7 linked regions of the Cricetulus griseus genome follow. The protein of the gene in region 1 purifies or fractionates together with the protein of each later gene. This does not show direct contact. Links are inferred from orthologs where the notes say so. Each region holds a gene or a part of one and is shown on either strand. Other genes may lie near its edges. The genes, in order: Polr1c, Polr1e, DNA-directed RNA polymerase III subunit RPC10, Polr3e, Polr3c, Crcp and Polr3g.

What was found.
Region 2: the proteins of Polr1c (region 1) and Polr1e purify together in Homo sapiens (affinity purification with mass spectrometry; 5 studies listed by BioGRID and IntAct, counting the BioPlex papers as one, with this or other methods). This does not show direct contact. The link is inferred for Cricetulus griseus from reciprocal best matches to the Homo sapiens genes POLR1C and POLR1E.
Region 3: the proteins of Polr1c (region 1) and DNA-directed RNA polymerase III subunit RPC10 purify together in Homo sapiens (affinity purification with mass spectrometry; 4 studies listed by BioGRID and IntAct, counting the BioPlex papers as one, with this or other methods). This does not show direct contact. The link is inferred for Cricetulus griseus from reciprocal best matches to the Homo sapiens genes POLR1C and POLR3K.
Region 4: the proteins of Polr1c (region 1) and Polr3e purify together in Homo sapiens (affinity purification with mass spectrometry; 5 studies listed by BioGRID and IntAct, counting the BioPlex papers as one, with this or other methods). This does not show direct contact. The link is inferred for Cricetulus griseus from reciprocal best matches to the Homo sapiens genes POLR1C and POLR3E.
Region 5: the proteins of Polr1c (region 1) and Polr3c purify together in Homo sapiens (affinity purification with mass spectrometry; 5 studies listed by BioGRID and IntAct, counting the BioPlex papers as one, with this or other methods). This does not show direct contact. The link is inferred for Cricetulus griseus from reciprocal best matches to the Homo sapiens genes POLR1C and POLR3C.
Region 6: the proteins of Polr1c (region 1) and Crcp purify together in Homo sapiens (affinity purification with mass spectrometry; 5 studies listed by BioGRID and IntAct, counting the BioPlex papers as one, with this or other methods). This does not show direct contact. The link is inferred for Cricetulus griseus from reciprocal best matches to the Homo sapiens genes POLR1C and CRCP.
Region 7: the proteins of Polr1c (region 1) and Polr3g purify together in Homo sapiens (affinity purification with mass spectrometry; 4 studies listed by BioGRID and IntAct, counting the BioPlex papers as one, with this or other methods). This does not show direct contact. The link is inferred for Cricetulus griseus from reciprocal best matches to the Homo sapiens genes POLR1C and POLR3G.

Annotation. Positions count from the first base shown.
Region 1 is NW_023276806.1:255,712,608-255,716,555, forward strand, and holds the start of Polr1c (DNA-directed RNA polymerases I and III subunit RPAC1), read right to left. Parts: upstream 2,801-3,948; 5' UTR 2,709-2,800; coding exon 2,640-2,708; intron 2,525-2,639; coding exon 2,453-2,524; intron 240-2,452; coding exon 132-239; intron 48-131; coding exon 1-47. Other genes in the region: protein YIPF3, read left to right, coding at 3,009-3,089, 3,645-3,842. UniProt on the Homo sapiens protein: DNA-dependent RNA polymerase catalyzes the transcription of DNA into RNA using the four ribonucleoside triphosphates as substrates.
Region 2 is NC_048595.1:98,430,430-98,434,636, forward strand, and holds the start of Polr1e (DNA-directed RNA polymerase I subunit RPA49), read right to left. Parts: upstream 2,801-4,207; 5' UTR 2,752-2,800; coding exon 2,631-2,751; intron 2,178-2,630; coding exon 2,074-2,177; intron 1,522-2,073; coding exon 1,445-1,521; intron 525-1,444; coding exon 439-524; intron 1-438. UniProt on the Homo sapiens protein: Component of RNA polymerase I (Pol I), a DNA-dependent RNA polymerase which synthesizes ribosomal RNA precursors using the four ribonucleoside triphosphates as substrates.
Region 3 is NC_048599.1:60,488-64,730, reverse strand, and holds the start of DNA-directed RNA polymerase III subunit RPC10, read left to right. Parts: upstream 1-1,443; 5' UTR 1,444-1,523; coding exon 1,524-1,634; intron 1,635-3,061; coding exon 3,062-3,149; intron 3,150-4,243. UniProt on the Homo sapiens protein: Core component of RNA polymerase III (Pol III) which synthesizes small non-coding RNAs using the four ribonucleoside triphosphates as substrates. Can mediate Pol I proofreading of the nascent RNA transcript.
Region 4 is NC_048596.1:79,735,656-79,739,646, forward strand, and holds the start of Polr3e (DNA-directed RNA polymerase III subunit RPC5), read right to left. Parts: upstream 2,801-3,991; 5' UTR 2,642-2,800; intron 1-2,641. UniProt on the Homo sapiens protein: DNA-dependent RNA polymerase catalyzes the transcription of DNA into RNA using the four ribonucleoside triphosphates as substrates.
Region 5 is NW_023276806.1:59,774,902-59,778,401, reverse strand, and holds part of Polr3c (DNA-directed RNA polymerase III subunit RPC3), read right to left. Parts: coding exon 3,301-3,500; intron 3,203-3,300; coding exon 3,017-3,202; intron 1,520-3,016; coding exon 1,434-1,519; intron 1-1,433. UniProt on the Homo sapiens protein: DNA-dependent RNA polymerase catalyzes the transcription of DNA into RNA using the four ribonucleoside triphosphates as substrates.
Region 6 is NC_048597.1:109,299,946-109,303,910, forward strand, and holds the start of Crcp (DNA-directed RNA polymerase III subunit RPC9), read left to right. Parts: upstream 1-1,165; 5' UTR 1,166-1,349; coding exon 1,350-1,357; intron 1,358-3,965. UniProt on the Homo sapiens protein: DNA-dependent RNA polymerase catalyzes the transcription of DNA into RNA using the four ribonucleoside triphosphates as substrates.
Region 7 is NC_048595.1:302,159,060-302,163,300, forward strand, and holds the start of Polr3g (DNA-directed RNA polymerase III subunit RPC7), read right to left. Parts: upstream 2,801-4,241; 5' UTR 2,663-2,800; intron 1,221-2,662; exon of another isoform or gene 1,128-1,220; intron 1-1,127. Other genes in the region: Mblac2 (metallo-beta-lactamase domain-containing protein 2), read left to right, coding at 3,303-3,756. UniProt on the Homo sapiens protein: DNA-dependent RNA polymerase catalyzes the transcription of DNA into RNA using the four ribonucleoside triphosphates as substrates.

The sequences.
Region 1 (3,948 bases):
GATGTGTTATTATAAACCAGAACCTTTTCCACTGCCATTGTTGGCACCTGTTCAAAAAAGCAGAATCATCCAACTGCAACACCAACTGATCTCCCTACCTGGAAATAAGAGACCCACACGTCTTCTTTTACCTCAGCTAACAGAATTCTCCGGAAAGCATTAGCAATGGCAGCATCAATTCCCACCATGTCGAACTCCAGTGTATTTTCATCCATATGAACAACATCCACACGGAAATTCTAGAGGGATAGAGAAAAAACTGATGGAACACCTGTTTCTCTTGTGTAATTCAAGCCTCCCTCTGTGATTACTCCCACCCTGGCAATGTCCCTCCATGTATGTCCACCCTCTCTCATCCTAAAGCCTTCCTGTGACCAGATGATCACTAGACTTTTGTCTTCAGCCCTGTTCTTGAGTTTTGTAAGAAGCCTGGCTGGTTTTCTTTCTTTTTTAAATTAAAAAATAAGGGGGGGTCTCCCTACCTTGCCCTAGCATTTCTGGAACTATCTATGTAAACCACAATGGCCTCGAACTCACAGGAATACTTACCTATCTTCTATGGACTAGGATCAAAGGTGTACATCACTAAGACCCTAAGCAAAGCCGGGCATTGGTGGTGCACACCTTTAATCCCAGCACTGGGCGCGCGCGCGTGGGGGGGAGGGGGACACAGGCAGATCTCTGTGAGTTCCAGGCCAGCCTTGTCTACAGATGGAGTGCCAGGATAGGCTCCAAAGCTACATCCTGTCTCAACCCCCGCCCTCTCCCCAAAAAAGACCCTAGGCAATATGGCTCCACAAAAACAACCCACAGAAGCTGCTACACTGAAGAGCAGAACGTCCCACACTGCTTAGACAAGTTAGTCCTGCATTTGTTTTTATTTTTCAATCCCTCTTTTTTCAAATTCTACTCCCTTGACTTTTGAACACCAATTTAGTTCTCTTATCTGATATTCTAAATTCTTCCTCTCACCCTGTAAATGTTACTTTCTCCCAGGTTCAAATCTCTTGGCTGACCTCAATCACACTCCTGGCTTAAGCAACTACTCAGCAACTCCCCAAACTTGGGTTCATTTTGATCTCACTTCAGGCATCATTCACTTGACCTACAGACTTCACATACAGGAATTTGAACATATTATCACTCTTTTTCTCCTGTTTATCAACTGACACAATCAGCCATCAAGACACTTCCCTAATGGAGCTGACGAGATGGCTCAGCAGTTAAGAGCATTTGACTGCTCTTACAGAAGAACTGGGTTTGGCCGGGCGTTGGGTGGCGCACGCCTTTAATCCCAGCACTCGGGAGGCAGAGGCAGGAGGATCTCTGTGAGTTCGAGACCAGCCTGGTCTACAAGAGCTACTTCCAGGACAGCCTCCAAAGCCACAGAGAAACCCTGTCTCGAAAAACAGAAGAAAAAAAAAGAAAAAAGAAAAAGAACTGGGTTTGGTTCCCAGCACCCACACTGTGGTTCATAACCATGCATAACTCCAGTTCTGGGGACCTAACTAGACCTCCCTGGGTCACCAGTCACACAAATGCACAAATATACATGCAGGTAAACACATAACCCCCCCCCCAAAAAAAAAACTCCTTAAATTCCCCACATCACAAGGCCCTTTTTCACACACACACACACACACCCCTCACCAAAGCTATATGGTACATAGCTGTTAGTTCTCCTTTTGCTCCATTTCCACTACCAGTGGAATTTATTCATTCCCTCCCAGCTATGAAGGTTACAAAATTAGATCAGTCTACTGAAAAATTCTCTTTAAGCCAGGCGAGGTAGCTCATGCTATTAATCTCAGCGCTCAGGAGGCAGAAAGGCTAGTTTCATGACAGCCAGGGATACCCAGAGAAACCCTGTCTCGAAAAAAAAAAAACAACAGAGCTCTCTATTAACTTGCAGAGCTTAAGATAACACCCCAATCAGGGACGCGAGTTTAAATTTCCAGCACTCAACACTGTAACTGACAACAGGATCCGACACCCTCACATAGATTCGGACAAAACACCAATGTACATAAAATACAAATAAATTTTCAAAGAGAAAAAGATAGACCCCGGTCTTGTCTACCACTCGGGCCAATGTATTGACATCTGGCGATAATGAACTGCTGGAGCAGGCTCTGCGCAAACAAGCGTTTGCAACAATGCTCCAATTAGGCCTGCACGGCCTAACTGTTGGCCAGTCTTCCTTCACTGACCCGAGTCTCCGTCTCTCCGACGGACCGGATTAAGTCACCTACGGGATTCCTCTCCCGCACCCCGGCCGTGCTCGCCGCTCTTGTGTTTCACCGGGATCCCTTGATCACGTGGGCCTTCACCCCACCCGGGCGGCCTGGCCACCCAGCACCCAGCACATGGATGGCTCAGCACACGTTTTTGGAACGCGGCGAGCGTGAGCCGTCTGGTCCCCGGGCCGCCGGGACACCTCCCGCGCACCCACCTTCTCGAAGCGGTCCTGGTCCCAGGCGTCGTCGTAACCCGAGTAGTTACCGGGGAAGTCGGTGGTGTGGACCTAGAGCCAACAGATGTGTTCAGCGGGGCGGTGAGGACAAGCCGCAAGCCAGGTCCCCTCCCCTCCTCCTCCCCCATCCCGCCCCCGACCCTCCCGAGTTCCGCTCCGAGCTCACGTTGCGAACCCCGAACTCTCCCAGAACCACGCGCGTCCGCATCTCCTCCACGGCCTGGGCCGCCGCCATCGTCCACCACCCGCCTCGAGACGCCTCCGGTGCGCGCAGGCGTACTAGGGGCCCGTTGCCGTCTCCCTGGCAACGCCCCGCCTCCTGAACTTATAAATGTCGCGATATCCTGCCCCGCCCCGTCCACGTCCTTCACTTCCGGACGTCAATTGGGGCCAAACATCCGGGTTTCTCCTGTTTGCATTCCGGCTGATACTACCTCGCCCTCTCTCTTTCCTGGACGTTTCCTCCTTCTCTCCGGCCCGGGTCTCACGCTGGTCCCACGCCCGCGAGCTTCAGCGACGGAAAGCCTCGAGGGACATGGCGACTCCCGCGGCGCCGGCCAGCGGCGTCCGAAACGGAGCTGGCCCGGAGTGGGGAGGCTTCGAAGAAAACATCCAGGTATGGAGCGGTGTCCCGGCTGCCGGCAGCCCCCGGGCTGGCCGCCGTCCCCTCTCGCGGCCTGGAAGTCGGCTCCATTGCAAGTGGTGGCCGCTGAGTCTCCCACGCCCAGGTCTGTAGCGCTTGTGCTGAGGAGGAAGGGCCAGGCCGAGGCTGCAGCGGGCCTCGGGTCTCCGTGGCTGGGCGGCCTGTCTGGGTCAGGCAGGTGCAGGGCTAGAGGGTAGGATTGATTCCCTGGAGCCCCTAAAGGTGGCCTGTGTGCACATAGGCTTGCTTGAAGGTGGGTGGCGGCAGGTCGGCCCCGGTGCAGCACTTCGAAGCTTTGAGGGGGAAGGTAGGAAAACAACGTGAATTGAAGATGAGTAGTGTGTTTTCTGAACCACAAAAGTGTGGCGACAAGAGTTGTGCCAGCAGTGACAAGGAGGAGTTTGGCACGATGGGTAGCAATTCCAATGTCCTCATCAGTGGGAGAGCAAAGCCTCAAACCGTGCGATGAGCAGAGAGCAGAAGGGTGCAACAGAAGGCCCCGCTCTCTAGCAGCCTTTGTCTTCACAGGGCGGGGGCTCGGCCGTGATTGACATGGAGAACATGGATGACACGTCAGGCTCCAGCTTCGAGGACATGGGGGAGCTGCATCAGCGCCTGCGTGAGGAAGAAGTGGATGCCGACGCAGCTGCTGCAGAAGAGGAGGATGGCGAGTTTCTGGGCATGAAAGGCTTTAAGGGACAGCTGAGCCGACAGGTGGCTGATCAGGTAAGCAGATGGGAAAGTGGACCCATGTGTGTCCCAAGGTGACGTAGGTTTTCCAGGGAGAACCACACAGAAATCTGGCAAAGGCTGTGTAACGTTAACAGTCTAG
Region 2 (4,207 bases), on another chromosome or scaffold:
AAATCCTGTCTCAACCCCCCCCCCCCCCCGCCCCGCCCCACAAAAGGTTATATATCCATATACCTTTTCAAATTAAAAAGAAAAAAGAAAAATGAGAACACTCGGCAAGAAGGCATCCTATTATGGTTGAGGATAAGCTGTGTTTGCCAAATAGACACCAAGTTCTGAGTTCACACCCCTTTACCATATAAACCTCTCACCATACACAGCACTCTCAAGTTGATGGCAGGAGGACCAGAAATCCAACGTCATCTTCAGCTACCCAGAAAATTCAAGGGTCTACATGAGACCTTCTCTCAAAAAGGTATATGTGGAGGAAGCCATTTAGAAAAAAATTACAAATGCCTTCTAGAAAACAAAAATGAACTAATCCAACAAACCCAAACGATGTATTTAACTGAATATTCATTTAACAGAGTATTCATTTCCGGAACCTACCAGCAAACAGTGGCTGCATGTTGAACAACTCAGCATCATATACTTCCATCTGCCCAGAGGTCTTATTCAGAATTCCCACAAAGTGTCTGAGGAAAAAAGTAATGATACAATAGTAGTTTAACCAAAAGGTTATTATTTACACAATCCTCTCTTTTTCCTATTCACATATCCCTAGCTTCTTTCTGCCAGAAAAAGGCATCCACTTGCTCACATGTAACAATAATCCCTGCACGGAGAGGAAACAGTAGGTGATGAAGAGGAAGGAGACATAAAATGGTTGTGGACTGAAAAAGCCACCAGATGGTTCTGATAACCAATCACATTTAAAGTCCCAGCACTTGGGAGGCAGAGGCAGGAGGATCTCTTGAGTTCGAGACCAGCCAGGTCTACAAGAGCTAGTTCCAGACAGCCTCCAAAGCCACAGAGAAACCCTGTCTCAGAAAACAAAACAAAACAAAACAAAACAAAACAAATTTAAAGCCACTGCTGTTAATGGAAACCCTTTTGAGGTAATAAGAATCTAAAATTAAACAGAATTTTGGCATGCATAAATTCTTCAGGCTGGATGATGCTGTGACACAGAAGACACCAGAGGTGAGCGAAGAGCAAAGTTGCCAAAGTCATTCACTCTGACAGTGCTGGAGGGCTGCTTTGTTCCAACCCAGAGGCCTTGAAGATACAAAATCCTCTTGTCCCAAGGCAAACTTGAGGCAAGCTTTGACCTGATGATCACACATTCTAAATCAGCAGACATAGCTGTCTTTTGGGATAGGACAGTCATACATAATGTCATAATGAGGTCTTTAGGAACTCGACAAACGCAAGCCATCTTTTCCTTTCTAAGGGTGTCTACACAACAGTATATGGAATTTGTGAGTCTAGAAACACAAAGTCTTAGCAAACCTGCAGATCTCAACTACCTCCAAAATGAAGACTGAAGATAGTGTTGTCTCTGTCACTACTACAACCCTCCTAGCACCTTTGTCACTGCCCAGTTGTCCATTACCTGCAAAGAGTGTTGCATTTGAGGGCGCCAGTCCCAAAATTGTTTCCAACATAGGACAGCCTGTCTGTTTCTGCTGCCTGAAAAACAAAGGAGTGTCCAATTTACAATCAGCACTGGGCATGGCCTCCTTTTGACGTGTATAGAAGTCTTAGAATCCAGGACCAAAATGACCAGCCCTAGATATTCTCCAGGTGACCTACCCCATCATATCTACAGGAATCTAGGGTGTCTCTGGGGGACCCCAAATACCATAAGGAAGCTTCAAAGTGATAAAGTTCTGGGGGGGGGCGCCACCTGGGATTGCATGAAATTAAAAAGCTTCAAACTGGGCGGTGGTGGCCCACACCCTTAATCCCAGCACTGTGGAGGCAGGGGCAGGCGGATCTCTGAATTGGAGGTCAGCCAGCTATGTCTACTCAGTGAGTTCCAGTATAGCTAGAGCTACACGGAGAAATCCTTTTTCCCAAATATGTGAAAAGTCATCGTTTCACCCAAAATCTTGCACCTTGGTGAAGCCACAGTCCCATTTGCTTTCCTCCTTTTCTCCCCTCAGGCCCTCCCATATCTGCCCACACCAAGGGCCTTCTGAGCCCTGCAGAGCCCAGACTACCTGTACCTGCAGCCCTTACCAGGATCCGCTGATTCTTCAGCCTGGGGTTTACCAAGTCGTTGCTGTTGTACAAGGTGAAGCGCATGTTGCCTGGATTCTGCAGCTTCCCATTGGAGAATTGGACTGTAAGTGTAACCCAAGAATGAGATGAGGGCAAGACCAGCAGAGTGGGGTGGCTTAGAACTACACTGTGGTTGGGAACCCAGGGCGAAGGCAAGAGAGCTCATGTCCCACTTTTAGGGAGACTGAAGGAAGTCCTGGTCCAGTACTAAAAAAAAGGAGATGGGGAGGGGGTGGCCTCTGTGCAGAAAATGACGGAGGGAATGTCATTAACTAGCAGAAGAAAGGGAACTCTGCTCCGTGGAGGGGAAAATGGGCGAATGAGAGACCTGGTGAAATCTCCAAGTCCTGGGCACTGCCCTGAGAAGTGTCCTCGCATGTGAAGTCACGACAGAGGAAAGGGAGGATAGCGGAGGCTCTGTCCCAGCTCCAGGCAGTGGGCAGGAGGGCTACGCGGTACCCAGATAGAAGGGGATAGGGCTGAGCGAAACTCCGCTCCGGTCCCGCAGTCTTTACCCAGCACAGCTTTCTGCCTGTCGTCAGGCTCCCCACAGTACAGCCACCTTGCACTCTGTTGCACCTCTGTCTCCATGTCTCTACTCTGGCTGTCCAGCCCGGAAGACTCCAGTGTAGCCATGAGCTCTCCGGCTCACACGCGGACGCATACACCGGAAGTGACACTCTGAGACCTGCCCAGAACACGCAAAACGCGAAACCACGCCTCTAGCGTGGTGGAGCTTCGTCCCGGACCACTCTTGGCTCTTTCCGCGGTGGCCACGCCCCTGGTAGGAGGGCCTCTTCGAGGTGCAGTACCTGATTGGCTTAGTGCTCCCGCTTACGCCCTAAGGTTTAGCCAAACGCCGAAACACAGCGTCTTCAGCCTCGGTTTCGCGTGGAGCTGCCTCTGACTTATCATCATCTAGGTAGAGGACTGTCTTTCTTCTCACCTTTCCAAGACCTGATAAGGCCAAGTTGAAATTTAGAATACTCAGGCCGTGCGTTGGTGGAGGCACTCGGGAGGCAGAGGCAGGAGGCTCTGTGGGTTTGAGGCCAGCCTGGTCTCCAGAGCGAGTGCCAGGATAGGCGTGTTCCCTGAGGCTGGAGAGATGGCTCAGTGGTTAAGAGCACTTGTTGCTCTCCCTCGGGTTCAGTTCCCAACAATCTTGTTAGGCAGGGCAGCTCCAGCTCAGGTAACTGGAGATCCTATTTCCTTTTCTGGCCTCCTTGTCACCTGAACACACATGGTCTCCACAAGCACATTCACACACACACACACACACACACACACACACACACACACACACACACTCACACACTATGCTTTGCTTTTAGCTGTCACAACTCTGACACACACACACACACACACACACACTATGCTTTGCTTTTAGCTGTCACAACTCTGACTGGAAGGTTACTTTCTTTGATCCTACCCAAGTGTTTTCAATTGATTGTTTTCAGAAAGGAAAAGGAAAGAGATGAAAGAGGGCTTCATTCTCTAATTATTCATCAGCTTCTTCTGTCAGTCTTTTCCACACTAAGCTTATTGGAACTTAATAACTAATTTTGGAGCTAATTAGAAACACATTTCATTTTAAATTATTTATTTAGTTAGTTAGATAGTTAGTTAGTTGCTAGCTAGTTCCCAAGAAGTAGTGTGTAGTAAAACAAAACTGCTCATTTGGTGGCCAAGTATGAAGGGGAAAGGGGCTGAGGTCCCTTATTCTCTTTAGGCTCAGTCTGTCTTCAAATTCCCACCTGAGGGTGACTATCAACTCCTCATCCTTCTGCCCGGTGCTGAGATTATAGACATGTACCACGCCAGCCAGTACATTTATTTCTTTCCTTTAACTTCTGCACCTCCAACTCCTGGGAGGTCCTGTGCAAATGGAGATTTTCAATAAATGTTCAATGAGAATGCTGGCAAGATAGCTCAGTGGATAAAGACACTTGCCATCAAGCTTGATGGTCTTCCCAGGACCCACCTAGTGGAAGAAGAGAGCTTACACAGTGTGTACAGGTGTATGTAAATGTAAAACAAATGAATATTGAACAAATGAGTGAAAAGCTAGGTGATAGGTGGGAATATTCATGAA
Region 3 (4,243 bases), on another chromosome or scaffold:
CAGTTCCCCTCCTTCCTCTCTTCCCGCTCCTCCCACCTCCCATCCACCACTCCTTGGTTCAGAAAGCCGCGAACTTCCCATGGGCGTCAACAAAGCATGATATATTAAGTTGAGGCAGGACCAAGCTTCTCTCCCTGCATCAAGGCTGGGTGAGGCATCCCAGCATCGGGAACAGGTTCCAAAAAGCCAGCTCATGCGCCAGGGACAGGTCCTGATCCCACTACTAGGGGCTTCACAAACAGGGCAAGCTAAACAACTGTCACCCACATGCAGTGGGCCTAAATCGGTCTGATGCAGGCTCCCTAGCTCCCACTATCTCAGGTCAGCTGTTTCTGGGTTCCCCAAGTTACGATCTTGACTCCCTCTTACTCGTACAATTCCTCCTCCCTGACTGTGGATCTCTGCATCTGCTTCCATCAGTTACTGGATGAATGCTCTCTGGTGACAATTAGCGCAGTCACCAATTACAGGAGAAGGCCAAGTGCTCTTAAGCTGAACCATTTAGCCCCTTCGTAGTGCTTTCCTATTTCACGCATGACCTTCGGCTTAGTGGTGGCACCGCCCACAACGGGCTGCGTCCACTTCTATCAATTTGCATTCAAGAAAATGCCCCATTGAGTTACCTACTTATAAGTCTGATAGAGACATTTTCCCAATTGGGATTCCTCTTCTAGATAACTAACTTGTTAAAGTTAATAAAACAAAACAAAAACAAAAAACCCACAGGAGTCACCCCAACCCCTCCCTGTGTAGGTTATAGAATTCTTGCAGAGGATTAAGGAGGTAAGACATTTAAAAGAGGTCTGAGAAGGCAGAACTGGGAAACGTAAAGGAGTCTATAGGAATGAGACAAAAGAACCAGATGGAGGTCTGTGGAGAGGAACTGCTGGTATTGTAGGTCAGAGTTGATCTGTAGAATTGAATCTAGTGAAATGGCATAAGTGAAATAAGTGAAATGGCAGAACTGGGACCAGGTGAAGAAATGGTCAGATTGGAAAGATGGTAAGTACAGATAGACAGGTATTCATACGTTAGGCAGACAGCAGCAGAGAGGTAGTATCAACACTAGGGGCTGAATTAAAGTCCCTGGGACATTAGGTTAGTCTCTGCCTGTCAGTCCCGGCTCAGAAGATGCGAAGCAGCCGGTCCTGCGCCACTGTGACAAGACCTTCCTGAACACGTCCATGGCTCGGAGTGCGGCACTGTCTTCTCATCACCTGTACCTCCCTCCGAACCTTATTCCCGGGTAGGTCAGGCGTGTCAGCTGCCAGCCCCATCTCTCGGGCCATTTAAGCCTGTGCTTGCGTCAGGGAGATCCGTGCGCACGCGCAGGCATTACAGGAAAGCTGGGAAGGCAGACAGCGCACTATTGGAGGGTGGGAAGGACTATCTGCGTTGACCAATGGCATGTGAGAGCTGCCTGCCGCAGTGCCTTCTGGGTACGTGCCAGTGGCCGCTTCTATTGGGCGTCTGCGGCCGCGGAAGCTTTAGACAGTAAGAGCTTACTTGTTGGATCTGCAGCAATGTTGCTTTTCTGTCCGAGCTGTGGAAACGGACTAATTGTGGAGGAGGGACAGCGTTGCCATCGTTTCGCCTGCAACACTTGCCCCTACGTGCATAATATCACACGCAAGGTGAGTCCCAGAGGCGAGCGCCTCCTCCACTGTCGGTGCGCTCAGACTTCCTGCGGGCGGTAGTTTTTTTTTTTGCTCACCTGTGGAAGTACCTCAAGTTCAGTAGTTGGTAATCCAGTGGCATCGCTCCGGCCAAATCGAAGCCACTCTTCTGGTCACTTCAGAGATTTCTGCCTCTGGCTCTCTGCTGCCGGTTTTGTGACACCCAAAAGGTTGCGAGATTTCCGTTTTACCTCTAGGCTGAACCACGCCTTTAAAACCTACAGCTGTCCTCCGCACGCCAGGCTCCAATACGCTTATCACCTTCTCTGATCTCAAATCTTAATGTTCTTTTTGTGGCTCTTCTTGCTCCCAGATCCTGTCGCTATTCTGGAGGATCTTACCTCCAAAAGTGCACGCAGTACTGTTAGCTCCTTCACGTTCCTTTCGCCCGAGTTTTCTTTCCCAACGAGCCATTTGGCGCTCTCTCTCTCTCTCTCTCTCTCTCTCTCTCTCTCTCTCTCTCTCTCTCTCTCTCTCTCTCTCCTCCCTCCCTCCCTCCCTCGGTGTGGGTATGTCTGTCTGTTTCTCTCTTCCTTTTCCTTTATCTCTCTCCCTCTCCCTCTCCCTTTTGGCTGTTGGTACATGCCTATAATTCCATCACGTGGAGAGGCTGTGGCAGGAGATTAAGTTCAAGGCTCACCTGGGCTGCATAGCATATGTATATGAAAATTAAGTAAACGAAGAAACCAAACCCAGCTCTTCCAGTTTATTCTCATTCCTTTTTCTTTTCCCAGGATTCATCGTCTTCTAATATATGTCATTGTTGCTGCTTTGTGTGTGTGGTGCTTGTGTTGGAACCCAGAGAAGCTGCTTTTACAGCCCTTTGTATTGTCTACCTTTCCATTCTTGTTCCTCCTTAACTCAGTGTCCTGAGTTCTGTGATTTCAGATGTGTATCATCAGGCCTTGGTGATACCTCATTTTTAATGTTTGCACTTAAGAGCTGTATGGTAGGAGTTTGGAGTCTGGATATGTGATAAGATTGAATGGTGACATAATTTTTGAAAATTGAAGGATGACTAAAGCAACGAAATGTGTCCCTGGGAATGCTGGGATACCCAGATAAATGGTGCTATTAGGCTTTTGTCTGTCTTTCATGTTGGGTTATTAGGGGTATGAGAGAAGAGCATGGTTTAACTCAGCTGTCTTCCTGCACTGTCTGCTGTTTCCTCCAGTTTCTAGGGGTCTCTGACATTGAAACTGTGCTGTTTTGGGAATATCTCAGTCACAAAACCCCTACATTTTAATGGCTCTTGTCGCTCTTTGAAGAAGATAAATTTTGTATCCATTTACTGAGTAGAGGAAATGCTGGAGGAAAGTTATAGTTTGGTGGCCTGCTTTTAAAACTATATGATTTCTTAAAATCTGATGACTTGTTTTTGTTAGGTAACAAACCGAAAGTATCCAAAGCTGAAAGAAGTGGATGATGTGCTTGGTGGAGCAGCTGCCTGGGAGAATGTGGACTCTACTGCAGGTGAGAATTTTCCCATTACAGAGCCAGTGACTCAACCCTATTTATTATTACTTATTATTATACTTAATAATAATAAATTTATTGTTATTTATTATAATGCAACCCTGTATATTGTTAGGACCAGTAAGATGGCTCAGCAGGTAAAAGCACTTGTTTCCAAACCTGTTAACCTGAGTTTGATACTTGGAGCCCAGATAGTATAAGGAGACAGCTGATTCATGAAAAGTTGTTTACCAACTCCCACCCCCTCAACCAGTAGTTATAAAAGAATTTAAGAAAATATAAACAATAATGACAAATAGCTTGTGTTTGCCAATACAGGAAATATTTTGATATGTTGTAGTCACAATATAGTCATTCTTTAAACTCTAAGCAAGGCATTAAGACCTTTTTGTTTGTTTGATTTTGTGTTTTGAGACAGGGTTTCTCTGTGTAGCCCTGGGTGTCCTGGAACTCTCTCTGTAGACCATGCTGGCCTCGAACTCAGAGATCCATTTGCCTGCCTGCCATGTGATAGGTTTAAAGGCATGTGCACCACCACCTGGCCATATTAAATTTTTTTAAAGCAGATTTCTTTCAAGGATTAAATATACTGAAAGGAAAATCACCATATTGATACCTGCTCTGTTGTTTCATTTAGATTCTCAGGACAGATATGGGCAAGTATAAGTAAAAATCTGGTACATATTCTCTTCTTGAAACAAATTTGGGGTTTATTACAAAAAAGTTTCAATGTTGATTTAAACTTAAATATTGATGGTTGTTGAGAGGAGGCGAGAGGTGTAAAAGGACAGTTGTCCATGCTCTAGTGGGTACAGGCTTCTCAAGAGAATTCTGTTGTATGTATTTTCAAATACCAATATTGTAAAAATGATTAGCCCTAGTCTTTTTTTATTTTTAAAAATGTTTATTAAATTAAAAACAATAAAAAAATCTTATTTTACATACCAATCCCAATTCCCTCTCCATCCTGTCCTTCATTCCCCCCCCCATCTCCTCATTCCATCCCCTATCTCAAAATAAAACAAAAGCCTCTACTCATTTTCCACTTTCAAGGCTTTTGCTTATTTTTGAGATAGAATCTTGCTGTGTAG
Region 4 (3,991 bases), on another chromosome or scaffold:
GTGCATCTGCACTGGCTGCCAAGTGTCACAGATATGGGTCAAACAAGTACCTGCCCTTTAGGCAGCTGTACTTTGTGGCCAACTGAGACAGGACTTCAGGGGGAATCAATGAAACACAGCACATGCAAAAAGAGGCTGTGGCCTAAGAGAGTCTTCAGCTCTAGTTATTCTTTCACGGCTGAGATTCTGCCAGTCTTGGAATCAGGCAGGATCAGGTGCCCTCTCTGCAGGATGACAGAGGCTCCTCCCTCTGGGCACCACACCTGATTGGGTTACCTGCAAAGGTCATCACCTCTTGTTAGCCTCCCAACCAACAGGAGCCAATTCAGTGGCTTTCAAAGTTTCAGCCTATGACTGACAATAATCTTTTCCCAACAATGATGCAGAAGATACATGGAATGCCACAGCTGAAACAGTACTTCATGTAATATGATTGTTACATGCCACACAGTGATGTTTTCTATTTTCTATCCTTGCCTATGCAAAATAAAAATGCTGGTGGCAAGACCCCCAGGCCAAGTTTACATCACTCACTAATACATTTTTTGGTGGTGTTTTTTTATTTTCTGAGACAAGAGTTCTGTAACAGCTCTGGCTGGCCTTGAACTCACAGAGATCCTCCTGCCTCTGCCTCCCAAGTGCTGGGATTTAAGGCGTATATCACCACGGCCCAGCTCACTAAGTCTTAACCTGCAATCTTCAAAGTCAACAATCCAATAAGCCTCCTGAGTCAGCTGTGGTGGCCCAGGCCTGCGATACCAGCCCTAGGGAGGCTTAGGGAGGAAATTTAAGGCTTAGGAGAGAAATTTAAGGGCATCCTAGGCTATTATATAGCAAGGCCTCATCTGAAAAAAAAAAATAATAATAATAATAGACACAAAACAAACAAAAAAAGCTAAAAAAAAAAAAAAAAAAAAAAAAGCTTTCGTAGGGCCATTCTTTCCTATCTCTCCAGAGGACCTCCCGTCTCTGTAGTAACTACTCACATTGCTCTCTTCTTGAAACCCTTCAACTGTACCATAAAACAAAACCCAAACTCCCTTTCATGGGCCTGTAAGCCCTTACACGATCTTGCCAGGTTCCACATAACCATCTCCTCAGGGACTGGTAATCTATCACTGAGCCTCCAACAGGCCAATCCCCACGCATCCCGAGGACCTCTGCACAAGAATCCCAGGTCATTTTCAGGATGCTCATTTTCCTTAAATGTAAGCATTGCCCCTCCCTCCAGGACTAGACAGGTTTAGTGAAAACCCAATTTGAATAGCTGCCTCCAACTCTTTCCACCATTAACACAATCCCTTATTTCCTGAGTGGTCCTAACCTGGAACTTCTCTATTTGCTGCTCAGGTGTTGGCTATCCTCTGCACTAGACTTTGAACTCTACGAAGGCTTCTCTATGCTTCATATTCCTCAACCATCAAGTAGACATAATAATTATACTTCACCGTTGTTATAGGGTCATTACTTGTAAAATTAAAAAAAAAAAAATTCACAGCCCTTCTCCTAAACCCTAATGCTGTCTGGCATCAATATACTACCAAAAATATTCATTCTCATTAGCTGTGCAATTCAAAATTTATAGTGCCCAACTTATGATTTGCCCAAGGGCACAGCCCCAGGGAACAGTATAATCAAGAAATCCGTCTAGCAGGTGTCAATGAGTCTTGATTTTATTCTTAACCACTATGCTGCACACATCTTTGATAAAAGGCAGTATGGTGTAGTGGGTAAGAGGTCGGACTCCCGTGCGAAACCTTACAGGTTCAAATCCCACCTCTGCGCAACGTACCAGCTGACAGAAAGCATGAATTGCATAACCTTGGGTCCTTTCCTATTTTCATCCCTAAGCCGGCAATAAAAAAAAAAAAAAAGCACCGGCTTCAAAGAGAAAAGTGGAACATCCATGAATGAATGACTGTTGCTACGTGGCAACATGTTTTCTTCAAATAGGATGAAACGAAGACAGCCACAAATGAAAAGCAGGAGATGTCACCCATCTTACCCTCTTGTAACAGGAATCACGTTATCCCCATTTCGCAGATACCTTTTCGCTCCGAAACCCAGAAACCCTAAAGGCAATTACAACTGCAGGACGACCTGGTTTAAGCACCGCCACCCCCCGTGACTGAAGAGTCCCAGGGTCTGAGGAGCAGTCGCCTTTTGACTCTGCTTAAGCACAGATCAATCAATGAGGCGCCCCGGGCCCGGCACCACCAGCAAGGGTTGACCCGGTTCAGCTAGGACGCAGACCCCGGCCCATGCGGGCGGCCCTGACGTCCCATAGCTTTCTCCATGTCGCCGGTGCTCAGGCGCCCTTCCCACACCTCCGAGAGCCGCAAGCTACCGGGCACCAGTGCTCTCGCAGGTGCGGCTCCGGAGCCAGGCCCGGGCGGGGCAGCGCGGCCGAGGCCTGAGTCAGCGCGGGCCCCACGGTCGTCGCCTCCCCGACGTCCAGCCGTGCGGAGCGACCGGGAAAGCGAGGCGGCTGCCCGTGCGCCCCGCCCGGGTCCCGGGAGGCCGCGGCCCCTCAGCACGCAGCGGCGCGGGCCTCTCCGGCCTACTCCGCAGAGAGGCCCAGACCTCCGCGCGAGTGCGACGGCTGCGGCCGGAACCCCGGGGCTGCCGAGTCGGCACTCACCTCTCAGCCAGGGCCGCGCGCGAGCGGCGGCAACGGCCCAGGGACCCGCGGGCTGCAGAGACGGTGGCGGCCGGGTCTCCTATTAGGCAGCGGCCATGTTGCTGCTGGAGAAACTCCGGCGGACACGTGGGGGGAGCGGGGCCGGCCCTCGCGCTTCCTCTTACCCACAATGCCCCGCCCCAGAGCGCGCGGGCCCGCCCCTTCGGCGAGCTACTCGTGGTGCAGAGAACGAGAACCAACTGCAGAGGTCGCCGCTGGGGCGGCAAAAAGTAGCTCAGGGTTAAGGTAGGAAAAAACACTGATCCTGGCAGCGGTGGGATTCGAACCCACGCCCCCGAAGAGACTGGAGCCTTAATCCAGCGCCTTAGACCGCTCGGCCACGCTACCCAGCTGCTCATCTGGCCTTCTAAGAAGCTACTTAATGTTCTAACACATGCATACATTTTTTTTGTTTGTTTCTTATAATTTTTCGGGGGTTGTATTTGTGTTTTATCTACTCCTGATAGAAATTGTCACAAACAATATTGTTAAAACGCCAACTATTAAAATTAAATTATTTATATCCGAGCTTGTTCCAAATAAGCTTTAAAGCAAAAAGCAGTTTAAATCGCGTTCTGATGGTTAACGCGTCCAGTTAAACCACGCCGTCACCTACACAACCCGAATTAGGTGTCTTGGAGACTGATCCTGGCAGTAACTCTCACCCCAGCTCTGAGAAGCGAACCATGACCCCACATCTGCACAGTTCTGTCTGAAAAGTCACGTGTTTAAATTTTTAGTACGCAAACAATATTAAAACTTCGCATATAATCTTCGTAATATTCAACATAATAATTCTTTAACCTTTGACTTGCTTTAGTTTCCTCGTAACCACCATTATCGGCTGATTATACATCCTTTCGGATCTTTCGCTGTCGGTTTCTATGGATGTGTATCTCCATGGAAAAACAGTTTTGTTCATATTGTGTATGGGTTGGTATATAAATATTTATTAACATACTAACGCATAGAGAGCTGGCTAGTTTTTTCACCAGGCTTTTCATTTTTCTTTTGTTTTTACCATTTGTAAGTATCTATGCATGTTGATGTACACATACAGGCTTTTACATTTATTTTATTTATTTGTTTATAGGGGCGGCATGTTGTGGAGGTCAGAGTACAGACTTGCTGGAGTATATTCTCTCTTCCCACCATGTGGGGGCGGCTTAGATTGTCTGCCTTGCAGGCAAGTGTCTTTACTCGCTGAAACCAGCCCCATACGTTAAAAGACTGAAAAAGACACAGTGAAAAAAGTCACCCATATTCCCACCACCTAGAATTAAACTCATTCCTGCATATACTTTTGCACAT
Region 5 (3,500 bases), about 200 Mb from region 1:
TGGGAGTATGTGTGCTATAGCATGGGTGTGGAGGTCAGAGGACAACTTCAGGGGTCAATCCTCGAATTCTATCTTGGCTTGAGTCAGGGTATCTTTGCTTCTTTATATAGCAGGATAGCTGGCCTGTGAGCTTCTGGAAACTCTAGGTCTTGTCTCCTACCTCGCCTTAGGAACACCTAGATTATAGTTGTCTGCTACCACAACTAGCTCTAAGTAGGTTCTAGGGACTAGAACTTAGTTCCTCATGCTTGTGCAGCAATTGCTTTACCCACTGAATTACTGCCCCAGCTCTTAGCCATAATTTTGAGATTTACTTATTTATTTTTCAAAGATAGGGACTCCTTAAGTAGTAGGCTAGCCTTGAATTTGCAGCAATCCTCCTGTGTCAGCCTCTTTAGTGCTGGGATTACAAGGCATGCACCACCACAACTGGCTTATGTTCTTTAGCATCTTTATAGGGGTGCTGATAGGGTATTATAACAGTTCAGGCTTAAATGCATCTTTCTAAACTTAATGCCTCACCACTAGTCCTCATAGGTCTATGTGTTCCCGCCATACTGAAAATCTTGAACTTTATCTAGGTTCTCTCTTTTCATTTGTTTGATGTTTTTTTTTTTTTTTCTGTTTTTTTTTGAGGAGGGGGAGGGGCAAGGATAACCTAGAACTTCTGATTCTCTTGCCTGTACCTTCTGAGTGCTGGGATTATAGTTGTGCACCACCACTTATGGTTTGTTTGAGATAGGGTCTCACTATGTAGCTCTGGCTGTCCTGGAACTCACTATGTAGACCAGATTGGCCTCTGACTCACAAAGATCTGTTAGTCTCTGCCTTCTAAGCGTTTCGATTAAAGACATGGGTTATCACACTGGGTATTACTTCTGGTTTTATTTGGTACTGGGGAATCAAACCCAAGGCCTCATGCATGCCAGGCAAGCTATCTACCAACTGGGCTACACCCCTGGCCAAAGTCTCTCTTTCTCTCTCTCTTTTCAAGACAGAGTTTCTCTGTGTAGCCTTGGCTGTCCTGGGACTTGCTCTGTAGACTAGGTTGGCCTTGAATTCATAGAGATCTGCCTGCCTCTGCGTACCCAGTGCTGGGGCTAAAGGGATGCAAAAACACACCCAGCTCTACTCCCTCCTTTGTATAAATCAGTACCATTATTCAGTGAAACAACTTAAGCCTCAGAAGGGAATGAAACATTCCTTCTACAAAGCCCCTCCCCTCTCAGGAGTTCTCAATGCTCCTTAGTAAAAAGAGGGCCTGTGAGAAGAGGGCAGAGATGGTGTGGTAGCATTGTTTCCATTGGTCTATTCCTGACGAACACTTACTGAAGTTCATAATCCTACTTCTTCTTAGTCAGGAGCACTGAGGTTCTGTTGGAACTTGTTATCTGAGGGCGATCCCTGGACTGCTAATCAGGAAGCCCCATTACCTCTTTGTTATCTGTGTGTTTTGGTTTCTTGGCCTTGGGCTCTCCAGAAGCATCTTCGTCAGATGATCTCCTCCTCTTACCTTTTCCTGACAAATAAAATATTGAACAACTAGACTATATATCATATGATGACAGGAAATAAAGCCCAAATACATTTGTAGCTGCCTCAAGTTAAGAGTTGGTTAGGAGACTGAGGATATCATCTAAAATTCAGTATGTTTAAAAAAATCCAGTCATGAAGTTGAGTTCCAGGACAGCTGGAGCTACATAGTGAGAACCTTACTTGGAAAAAAAAAAAAACAGAACAAAACAAATAAAAACCCACCACAAAAACAAAAAAGCCAACCAAAAGAAAAGAAAATTCTGGGGCTGGAGAGACAGATGGCTCAGTGGTTAAGAGCACTGGCTGCTCTTCCAGAGGACCCAGGCTCAATTCCCAGCACCCACATAGCAGCTCATAATTGTCTGTAACCTCTGTTTCGGGGGATCAGACACCCTCACACAGACATACATGCAAGTAAAACACCAATGCACATAAAATAAAAATAAATTATATATATATATATATAAAAAAAGAAAATCCATAGTCTTTGATCTCAAACTGCTTCTCCTCCTATGCTTCCTTTCAGTGAATGGTACCATCGTGCTCCCATGGGTGCAAATCAGACACACAGATGTCACTCTTGACACTTATCTTCTTACTGCTCCTATATCTACTTTTTCACTAGTCTGTCTCTATTTACCTTTGCCCTGTCCTTTCAGCCTTTATTAGACAATTTACAATGTAAATCAGATCATGTCATTTCCTGCTTAAAACCAGAGTAGTCTCCCTTTGCTCTTAGGTTAAAGACCAGGCATTCTACACGGCCTTGTTTACCTCGTCCCTCCACTCTCTAGCCTTTTCTCAAGCTTCTCTGAACTTTGCTCACCTTGCTTCTACACTGACCTTTCACTTTCTCCAATGCTCTTATTTCTTCTTATTATTACACACTAGTTTTAAAAATACCCATCTTCTATCGCCTTACTGGTAGGTCCTACTTCTTCATCAAGATCCAGATCAAGTTGGGTGGTGGTGGCGCACGCCTTTAATCCTAGCACTCAGGAGGCAGAGGCAGGCTGTGAGTTCGAAGCCAGCCTGGTCTAGAGAGATACACAGAGAAGCCCTATACCCTGTCTTGAAGGAAAAAAAAAAAAAAAAAAAGATCCAGATCAAATTGGACTTTCTCAGAAAAACATAAGCTGTTACCCATTGCACAAACCCATTCCTCCATACCTGGCTTCTCCATAGTTCTTATCACAGTATGTGACATATCTATGTGACTGCTATCTTGGGAATGGATCATGAGTTTTCCATTATTATGTACTACAACGACTTTCTCCATAGTCCTTAACACAAGTGTGTGACATACCTATATGACTGGTATCTTCTGGGAAGGGATCATGGGTTTTCACATTATTACGTACTACAATAACTGGCACACACCAAGTAACTGGTAAACAATCAGGTATTCATTCACCTAACAATCAGTGAAGAAGAATCCAGAATTAGGGCAAATGGTAGTTCCAGGATGAAAATTCCTTACCTATCAAGCTCAGTTTAGGAACTAGGTACATGTCCTTTTCATTAATGACAAGGGTTGGGGCAGGTGGTGGTGGCCCAGGGTCAGAATCGCCAGTGGCAGGAACCAGGGGACAGCGCTGTACGAAGTGAGTATCTGCCAGTCGCACAAATGCATTTGATACCTCAGCATAGTCCATGGTCTTGCCATCTGTATAACAGGGGGAGAGAGGCAGGTGAGATGGCCTAAGAAGATGGAGAAGCCAGCCAATCTGTGCTTTTTCTAAGAGCTGTAGATCCAGTACTGACCCTCCATGGTCTCTGTGAGTCGATCTGCTACTTTCTTCACAACAGCTGACATTGTCATTTTGCCATTCAACAGGAGCTCTTCAACAATCAGCTCTCCAGTGTCACTGTACAGCGTTTTGGTAGTATAGATGTACCGAGGATACCTAAGCATTCGCAATACCCGGCTACACTGGGCTTCATACTCCACAACACTGCGTTTA
Region 6 (3,965 bases), on another chromosome or scaffold:
TTTTTTCTTTTTGGTTTTTCAAGACAGGGTTTCTCTGTGTAGCTTTGGAGCCTATCCTGGCACTCCCTCTGGAGATCAGGCTGGCTTCGAACTCACAGAGATCCACCTGCCTCTGCCTCCTGAGTGCTGGGATTAAAGGCATGCGCCACCAACCCCCTTTCTTCTTTTTTCAAAGTTTTATTTTATTTTTTTGGTTTTTCGAGACAAGGTTTCTCTGTGTAGCTTTGGAGCCTATCCTGGTACTCGCTCTGTAGACCAGGCCGGCCTCGAACTCACAGTGATCCACCTGCCTCTGCCTCCTGAGTGCTGGGATTTAAGGCATGTGCCACCAGCACCCAGCCAAAGATTTATTTTATGTGTATCTGTGAGTGTCTGTGTGTATGTATATACTTCACATGTGTGCCTGGCGGGGGCTATATAAAAGGCCTTGGATCCTCTGGAATTGGAGTTACAGGTTGTTGTGAGCCACCACGTTGGTGCTGGGAATCAATTCCTGATCCTTTGCTAGAAATGGAAGTACTCTTAACTGCTATGCCATCTCTCCAGGTGTCTCTCTTTCTCTCTCCCTCCCTCTCCCTTTCTCTCTGTTTCTTGTGTGGCCTAGGTTGTCTCACAAAAATGTGCTAGCCTCTACCTTCCCTTTTTTCCCTTGCTGGAATTAGAGGCGTGCGCCACCATGCCTGGCTGGCTTCTGGGGGTTTTGGTTGGTTGATTGGTATGTGTGTGTGTGCCTGTGCGTTTTTTTTAAACAAGATTTTATTTATTTATTATGTATACAACATTCTGCTTCCATATATATCTGCACATCAGAAGAGGGCACCAGATCTCATAACGGATGGTTGTGGGCCACCATGTGGTTGCTGGGAATTGAACTCAGGACCTTTGGAAGAGCAGCCAAAGGTGCTCTTAACCTCTGAGCCATCTCTCCAGCCCTGTTTTTTGTTTTTTTACACAGTGGTCTGCAATAGCCCAAGATAGCTTGAAACCCACTCTGTAGCACAGGCTAGCCAGGAACTCGTGGCAATCCCCCTGCTTCAATCTCTCTAGTGCTGAGATATCAGCTGCGAACTGACTGGCTTGGAGATTTTTAAAGCGTCCAAGACAGGAACCTTATCTTATTAAAACCCTAACAAAACCTAGACCATAAAAAAGTTTAAATTTTGCCTCCAGAGGCTGAAATTCGAAATCCGTACGACGCAAGGAGCCCGGCGTTCCCTACAGCGATCCCGGCATGCAACACGGCGTCCCAGAGTGGCTTGCGGCGCACACGCAGGCCGAGAGCTCCGCGGCGGTGGCACGACGGGAGGCCGTTCCCTTCCAGCGGCTGCGCAGGACGAAGCGGCTGCGACATGGAAGTGTAAGCCGCATGTCCGAGGGCAACCCGACTCATCTGGGGGCCGGAGACGGCTGGTGGTCGACCCTCCGCACCCGCTACCAGGGCGGGAGGGCGGAGTGGACGGGCCGGAAGTATCTGGAGGTGGGGCGGCTGGGGAGGGATCCTGCTGGTCCCGCAACCCACGTTCTTTGAGGGAGGGGAGTGTAGGAGCAATGAGTTTTGTTTGCTTGTTTGTTTTTCCTCCTGGTTCTGGGTATGAAACTCAAGACCTTGCACGCGCTCCGCAGTCGTCTGCCCCCCCCCCCATCATCATCATTTTGTAATGCTGGAGTTGGTACCCAGGGCTTCTCACATGCCAGGCAAAGGCTGCAACCCTAGCCGTTACCACCGTCGTTATTTGTGATACTGATACCCAGGGCTGTGAACATACAAAGGTGTGCTAGTTTCCTTTCTGTTGTGTGAAAAACACCATGACCAAACAAGGAACTTCGGGGTAGAAGTTTATTACATCTTTTGGTTTTTTGGAGACAGGGTTTCTCTGTGTATCTCTGGCTGTCTTGGCACTCGCTCTGTAGACCAGGCTAGCTTCGAACTCTCAGAGATCCATCTGCCTTTGCCTCCCTGAGTGCTGGGATTAAAGGCGTGCACGACTACCGCCTGACAGGGTTTATTTATTACATCTTACACTTCAGGACACAGTTCATCATTGAGGGAAGTCAGGGCAGGAACTCAAGGCAGAAACCTGAACAGAACCCGTTCAAAAATTCTGCTATCGGTTTACTCTCAGGCTTTTTTTTTTTTTTTAAGATTTTATTTTATTTATTATGTATACAACATTCTGCTTCCATGTATATCAGCGCACCAGATCTCATAAGGGATGGTTGTGAGCCACCATGTGGTTGCTGGGAATTGAACTCAGGACCTCTGGAAAAAGTCAGTGCTCTTAACCATTGAGCCATCTCTCCAGCCCACTCTCTGGCTTTTTACAACAACAACAACTCCTCATTTTCTTTTCTTTTCTTTTCTCTTCTTTTCTTTGTTTTTCTCTTGAGACAGGGTTTCTCTGTGGCTTTGGAGGCTGTCCTGGAACTAGCTCTTGTAGACCACAGAGATCCGCCTGCCTCTGCCTTCCAGTGTACTGTTAATTGTTTTGTGGTGCTGGGGATGGACACTAGGGTGCTAGGCAAGTGCTTTAGCACTAAGCCACGTGCCCATCATCATATAGTGGTGTTTGGAATGGTAGCATCCTGAGCATTCTAGGCAGTTACTCTCCCACCAGCAAAGCCATCTTGACAGTTTTTTCTCCATACTGTTTTTTTTCTTCTTTTTTTTTGTTTTTTTTTTTCTTTTTTGATGTGCAAATGTAAGTTTTTGCATCTATTCTACCTGTGGACTTTATATATCCCTGGATGACATACCTAAATTGTGGGGTTTTTTTTTTTTTTGTGGGGGTGGTTTGAGACAGGGTTTCTCTGTGTATCTTTGGAGCCTATCCTGGCACTCGCTCTGGAGACCAGGCTGGCCTCGAACTCACAGAGATCCGTCTGCCTCTGCCTCCCCCCCCCCCAGTGCTGGGATTAAAGGTGTGTGCCACCGACGCCCAGCTCTAAATTGTGTTATCATTCATTGTTCTTTACCTTCTGTTCACTTGTAATATATACTACAGTTTGTCAGACTTTTTAATACAGAGTCATAAGTAGCTCAGACAGGCTTTGATCTTGGTATTCAGCAGAGGATGATCTTAAGTTCTATGTCTCCACCTCTCAAGCTGCCACATCAGATTAGTATTTGTATGGGGGGGGTCTCACTGTGTAGCTCAGGCTGTCTGGTTCAGCTTTCTCCATCTGAGTAGCTATTGTCAGACACCCTGGCAATGCTCAGCTCTCTGACATGGCCCTGAATTTCCCTCTCCATCCTACTGCTGGGAGTTCTTTTGTTACTCCTCTTCCCTTGCTGGTCTCAATGTTATTGAGCATCTTAGTGCTTCATCTTCTTGGGACACTTTCTGTTCCCATTCTTGGTATACATTCATTTATATGATGGTGGTTCCTCAAAATGTTTCTTTTTTTCTTTTTTTGTCCCTCATTTTCTGTCAAATTGTTTAAAACAAAATCTAGCATATTCCCTACCAGTCATCAGACAGTCCTTTTCTTGTTTTCCAGCACCCCCCACCCCTTGTAGTAGGGTCTCATGTACCCAAGGCTTAGCTTAACCTTGAACTTACTACCCATTCAAGGGTGGCCTTGAGCTTCTGATCCTCCTGCTTTTACTTTGCCATTGCTGAGTTTACTGGTGTATTACACCATACCCTGTTTATGCAGTGCTGGGGATGGGGCCAGGGTTTTATTCGTCTTAGGAGTGTTGTAATTTAAGAAAAGCGGTGCACGAGAGAAAGATGCCATGCACAGGGTTCAAGCAGAGGGGTTTTTTATAGGGGAAAGGGAAGGAGGAGATTGGCTTCCGAGACAGGGGCAGCAGTTGAGAGGAGAAAGGAAAGGGATAAAAAGGAAAGAGGGAGAGAGAGAAGAATGGGGGAGGGGGAAACAGACAGAGAGGGAGGGAAAGAAAGAGAGAAAGGATGGGAGGTAGGCAGGGCCCTTTTAAAAGGGAACACAGTGAATATGTACAG
Region 7 (4,241 bases), on another chromosome or scaffold:
CCATATTTATTATATGTGATCTCTCTGTGTGTCTCTGTCTGCCTGTCTGTCTGTCTCTCTCCAAGGTCTCACTATGCAGCCTTGGCTGAACTAAGAATCAGAGTAAATTAAATCTCCCATTTTATAGAAGAGTTAAAAGGTTCTGAAATGTTATCTGATAGTCTTAATTCCTATCAAAGGCAGGTATAGATTGGGCCTCAGGAAATACTTTCAATGTTCTATCTATATTTTCTTTTGGGAAGCACCTGTCTAAACTAGTTGACAACCCTTTTTAATCCCAATGATGCAGAATCAGTGAGGGAAATTAGTAACTGCAAAAAGTTCTGAATTTTAAGATTTTATTTGTAATGTTTGTGAGTATGTGTACTTGAATGTAGGTGCCTGTGGGGGTCAGAATATGATGTCAGATCTCCTAGAGCTGGAGTTACTGGTGGTTGTGAGCCACTTGGTGTGGAAGCTAGGAACTGAACTCAGATCCTCAACAAGAGTAGCATGAGCTTGTCACTGCTAAGCCATTTTTCCAGCCCTCTCAAAATCTGAATTTTAAAATACAATTATCAACAAAGCAACACCGTCCCTTCCACCTCAGGATGCCACCTCGAAACTGCTATTCAGAGGTTGTTCCTGGATGTCTGAAAATGGGCATTATTCAACTCTAACTACAATCTCCTGGGAGAGCATGAGATAATCTCAGCAGTTCTCCCCAGATCTAAACTATCAAGAGTTATGATTGTGACTTACATATACTGTCCTCACGTCGTACACATTAAAACCTTACACATTTAACTAGACAAATGTCTGAGTTGCTGGAAGCCAGGGGAGGCCTGGAAATCAGGCCACAGTTATGAATGACTTGCAACTTGTTTTAGTCAAGGGCCTGACTCACTCCACTCTGGTCACCTAGCAGAAGACTTCTAGCTGGGTGTTCTTTGCCGCTCCCTTCCTTTATTTCTGCTTTCGCTCAGGCCTTCTATCATCTCCATCTGATCCTCCAAAAACAGACTAGACTTATGTTCAGGTTCCGAGTTTCAGTTCCCTCTGTAGTCATTTTAACAGAGGGCAAGTGTTTACAATGTGCCATTCGCATCTTTCAAACAAATGTAGGACACATAACTTCTGCCTCTCACCAAGTAACTGTTGGTTCCTGTGTGTCTCCCCAGGGAGGGTCTTCCATCACCCACTGGAGTCTTCATTGAGTACCCTCTGTGTCAAATCATCCTCTGTGTTGGAAATACAGAAGGGAACAAAATAACACCTGTGCTCAGATGGAGTTCACAGTCATGTATGGGAAACAGGCAAAGTCTACTTTAGAGAAACGCCAGAGACTGGGAGGTGATGTGTAATAAAAGCAGGGAACAGCCCAGAAACACCAGCTGAAGAAGTCCTGCCTCACTCAGCAATACCTGGGCGTAAATCTAACAACGATGAGAAGCAGAGTCAGGCTGAAAAGCAGAAAAAGAGAACCACTGTGAACTGTAGCCTGGCACAAGCCAAATAATTCTCGGCAAATTATTGCTGAGCTCATGACCAAGAAATGATAATGAGCCATTTTACCTTGGAGCCATGGCTCCCTTCTGCAGGGAAAACATCAAGTACAGAGGGCAGTGCAATCACTCAGCAGTCTCTCCCTTTTTACCCACATAGCATCCAATTTTTTAATTCATGTTGTCTTGTATTACAAGTATTTGTGTACAGGCATTAGCTTCCTCAGATTCTTGAGAACTCAAATCAGACTTTTTTTTTTAAAAAAAATATAGTTTTGTGTTCATCACACATCATTTAGTGCTAAGAATGATCCCAATTGCATAATTGAATAACTTGTACTTAGATGAGATTAGCAAAATACTCACAGGGGCAGTAACCTGCTCGAACTCCCACCAGAGACTTTAGGAATAGAGGAAGAATACACCTCTCCCTCCAGGAAAGTCTATTAGGAGATGCTGCAGTAAGCATTTTCCTAATTATCCTTTATAATGCTATCCCGTGGGTCTCTAATTTTTGACGGTTAGTCAACTTCTCAAGGGCATTTCTGAATCCTAAATAGATACAGCAATAGCTAGGGCTTGGGGTGAGAGCACAGGGATTTGATGTTAACAGTGGGGGTGATTTTAGTGGCTGGGTAGGCCACACCCAGTCATTATCCACTTTTCCTGTCCCCCTCAAAGTGCCCCGCCTTTCTTTAGTTAAGCTCTGGAAACTTTCTCAACGAGCAGAGAACCGAACAAAACATGACGGAAATTTAGAATTGTTTAAAGAAAAATCCTATTAGCAACTCCTCTCCCCACAATCCAGGGTGCCAAGAGTAAAGAAATCAGAAGCGGAATGGTATGCCCATAGCAGCAATCTGTCGCCAAACCAGTGCGTGAACGAACTGTAGGATCTCCGGATTGGCTAAGTCTTCTGTAGTATCAGCAAGAGCATAAACTCCCTTCTATCTCACTAAGAACACTCCCAGGAGGGGGCTGGAAGATCTAACTACCAAGACGTCAAAGGATTTGGAAGGCAGCATTAGGCTTTGAAGAGGTAAGGCTACCTCCCAAGTCACTCCAAAGGTCTGATGAATTTTGGCTCCCGATGCGGGTCCACCACGTTCTCCACGTGCCCCATCAACTCCCTTCTACCCTCTTCAACTCCAACCCAATTCGGAACAGCTTCCTGTTACCTGCTCACAACGTCTCGAGGCTTGTGCACTTTGTTCAGCCGAGGTGGCCGGGGTCCCTGCAGCCGCACCAGCCAGGAGCCGCGGATTCCACCTCCCCAGCAGCGATCACTGTCCTGCACGCGGCCACCGCGCTCAGCTAGCCCACTAGGAGCCCCGCCCACTGCCGGCGAGGCCACGCCCCCGGCACCGAGCTTTTTAGCCCTTGGCAGGCGCCGTAGTCTGCTTCCAACTGGCTCGGCCTCACTCTGGGCTCCAGCGGTGAGTGAGCTGCGCCTGCTGCCCGTGCGGGGGCGGTCCTGGCGCTTCCCACGCATCATCCCTAGCCTCTGCAGCAGAACCCCCGAGCAGGGCAGTGTCGCCCCATATCTCCGCCCTGCTGCAGCGGCCTGCGTTACTGCCACGGTGCTGCGGCTGCAGAAGCTGCGGCAGCCTGGGGTGCAGCCTTTGCGCTGTGCGGACCGGGAGCAGGAGATCTGGGCAGCGTCACCGCGGCCTATCCGCGCTCCCTTCCGCATCCCCGCCCCTCTTTCGCGCCTCCTCCGGGGCTGAGTGGAGTACGCCGCACACTGCGGCAGCTCTGGGTCCGGACTGCCCCTGGGAGGCACACCCACCTCTCCCGGCCGCACCCCTGCGCAGCAGCATGTCCGCGCTTGAGTGGTACGCCCACAAGTCTCTGGGCGATGGCATCTTCTGGATTCAAGAGCGCTTCTACGAGTCAGGCAACCGCGCCAACATCTGGCTGGTGCGCGGCTCCGAGCAAGACGTGGTGATCGACACGGGCCTGGGGCTGCGCAGCCTCCCGGAGTACCTCTACTCCTCCGGCCTCTTGCAGGACTGCGGGGCTAAGGAGGATGCCGGGCGCCGGCCACTGCTGGCTGTGGCCACTCACGTGCACTTCGATCACTCCGGCGGGCTCTACCAGTTCGACCAGGTGGCTGTGCACCGCGCTGAGGCCGAGGCCCTGGCTCGAGGGGACAACTTTGAGACCGTGACCTGGCTCTCTGACAGCGAGGTGGTGCGAGCCCCCAGCCCTGGCTGGAGGGCCAGGCAGTTCCGAGTGCAGGCAGTGCAGCCGACCCTCATTCTGCAGGATGGTAATGGGCCCCCGCGGGCGTGCGCTGTCGTGGAGGGAGGGGTTTGGGGAGCGTGTGCAGCATGTTGCAGACCTCCATGGCCACCTTGGCATTGTTGGGGTACAGTGTGTCTCACCCTTTGCTGCGTGAAAGCCGGTTTGAGCAGAGCCAAGGCCCTGGCAGCCTTCTCTGCCCAGAGAAGCGCTCTGCAACTGTGTGGCTGTCTCTAAAAAGCTGGCACCACCCCCAATCAATTCCTTGTGTCGGCTACAGTAGTAACACTGCAGAGACTTGTGACTGGGGTTTTCCTTTCTTCCCCTAGCATGAGTCGAACATTTCCAGCTTTTGTAACGAGTAGGCTTTTAAGGAATGGCACCTTGAGAAAAGTGTTATGCTCTGTGCTTTGAGAACTGCTGCTTCATCTGCGTGCTCACCGCGGAGTGACTATGAGTCCCACCTGTAGGGTTAGAAAACTGGAGAGCTGTGGCTCCAGCCATTTCATCCAC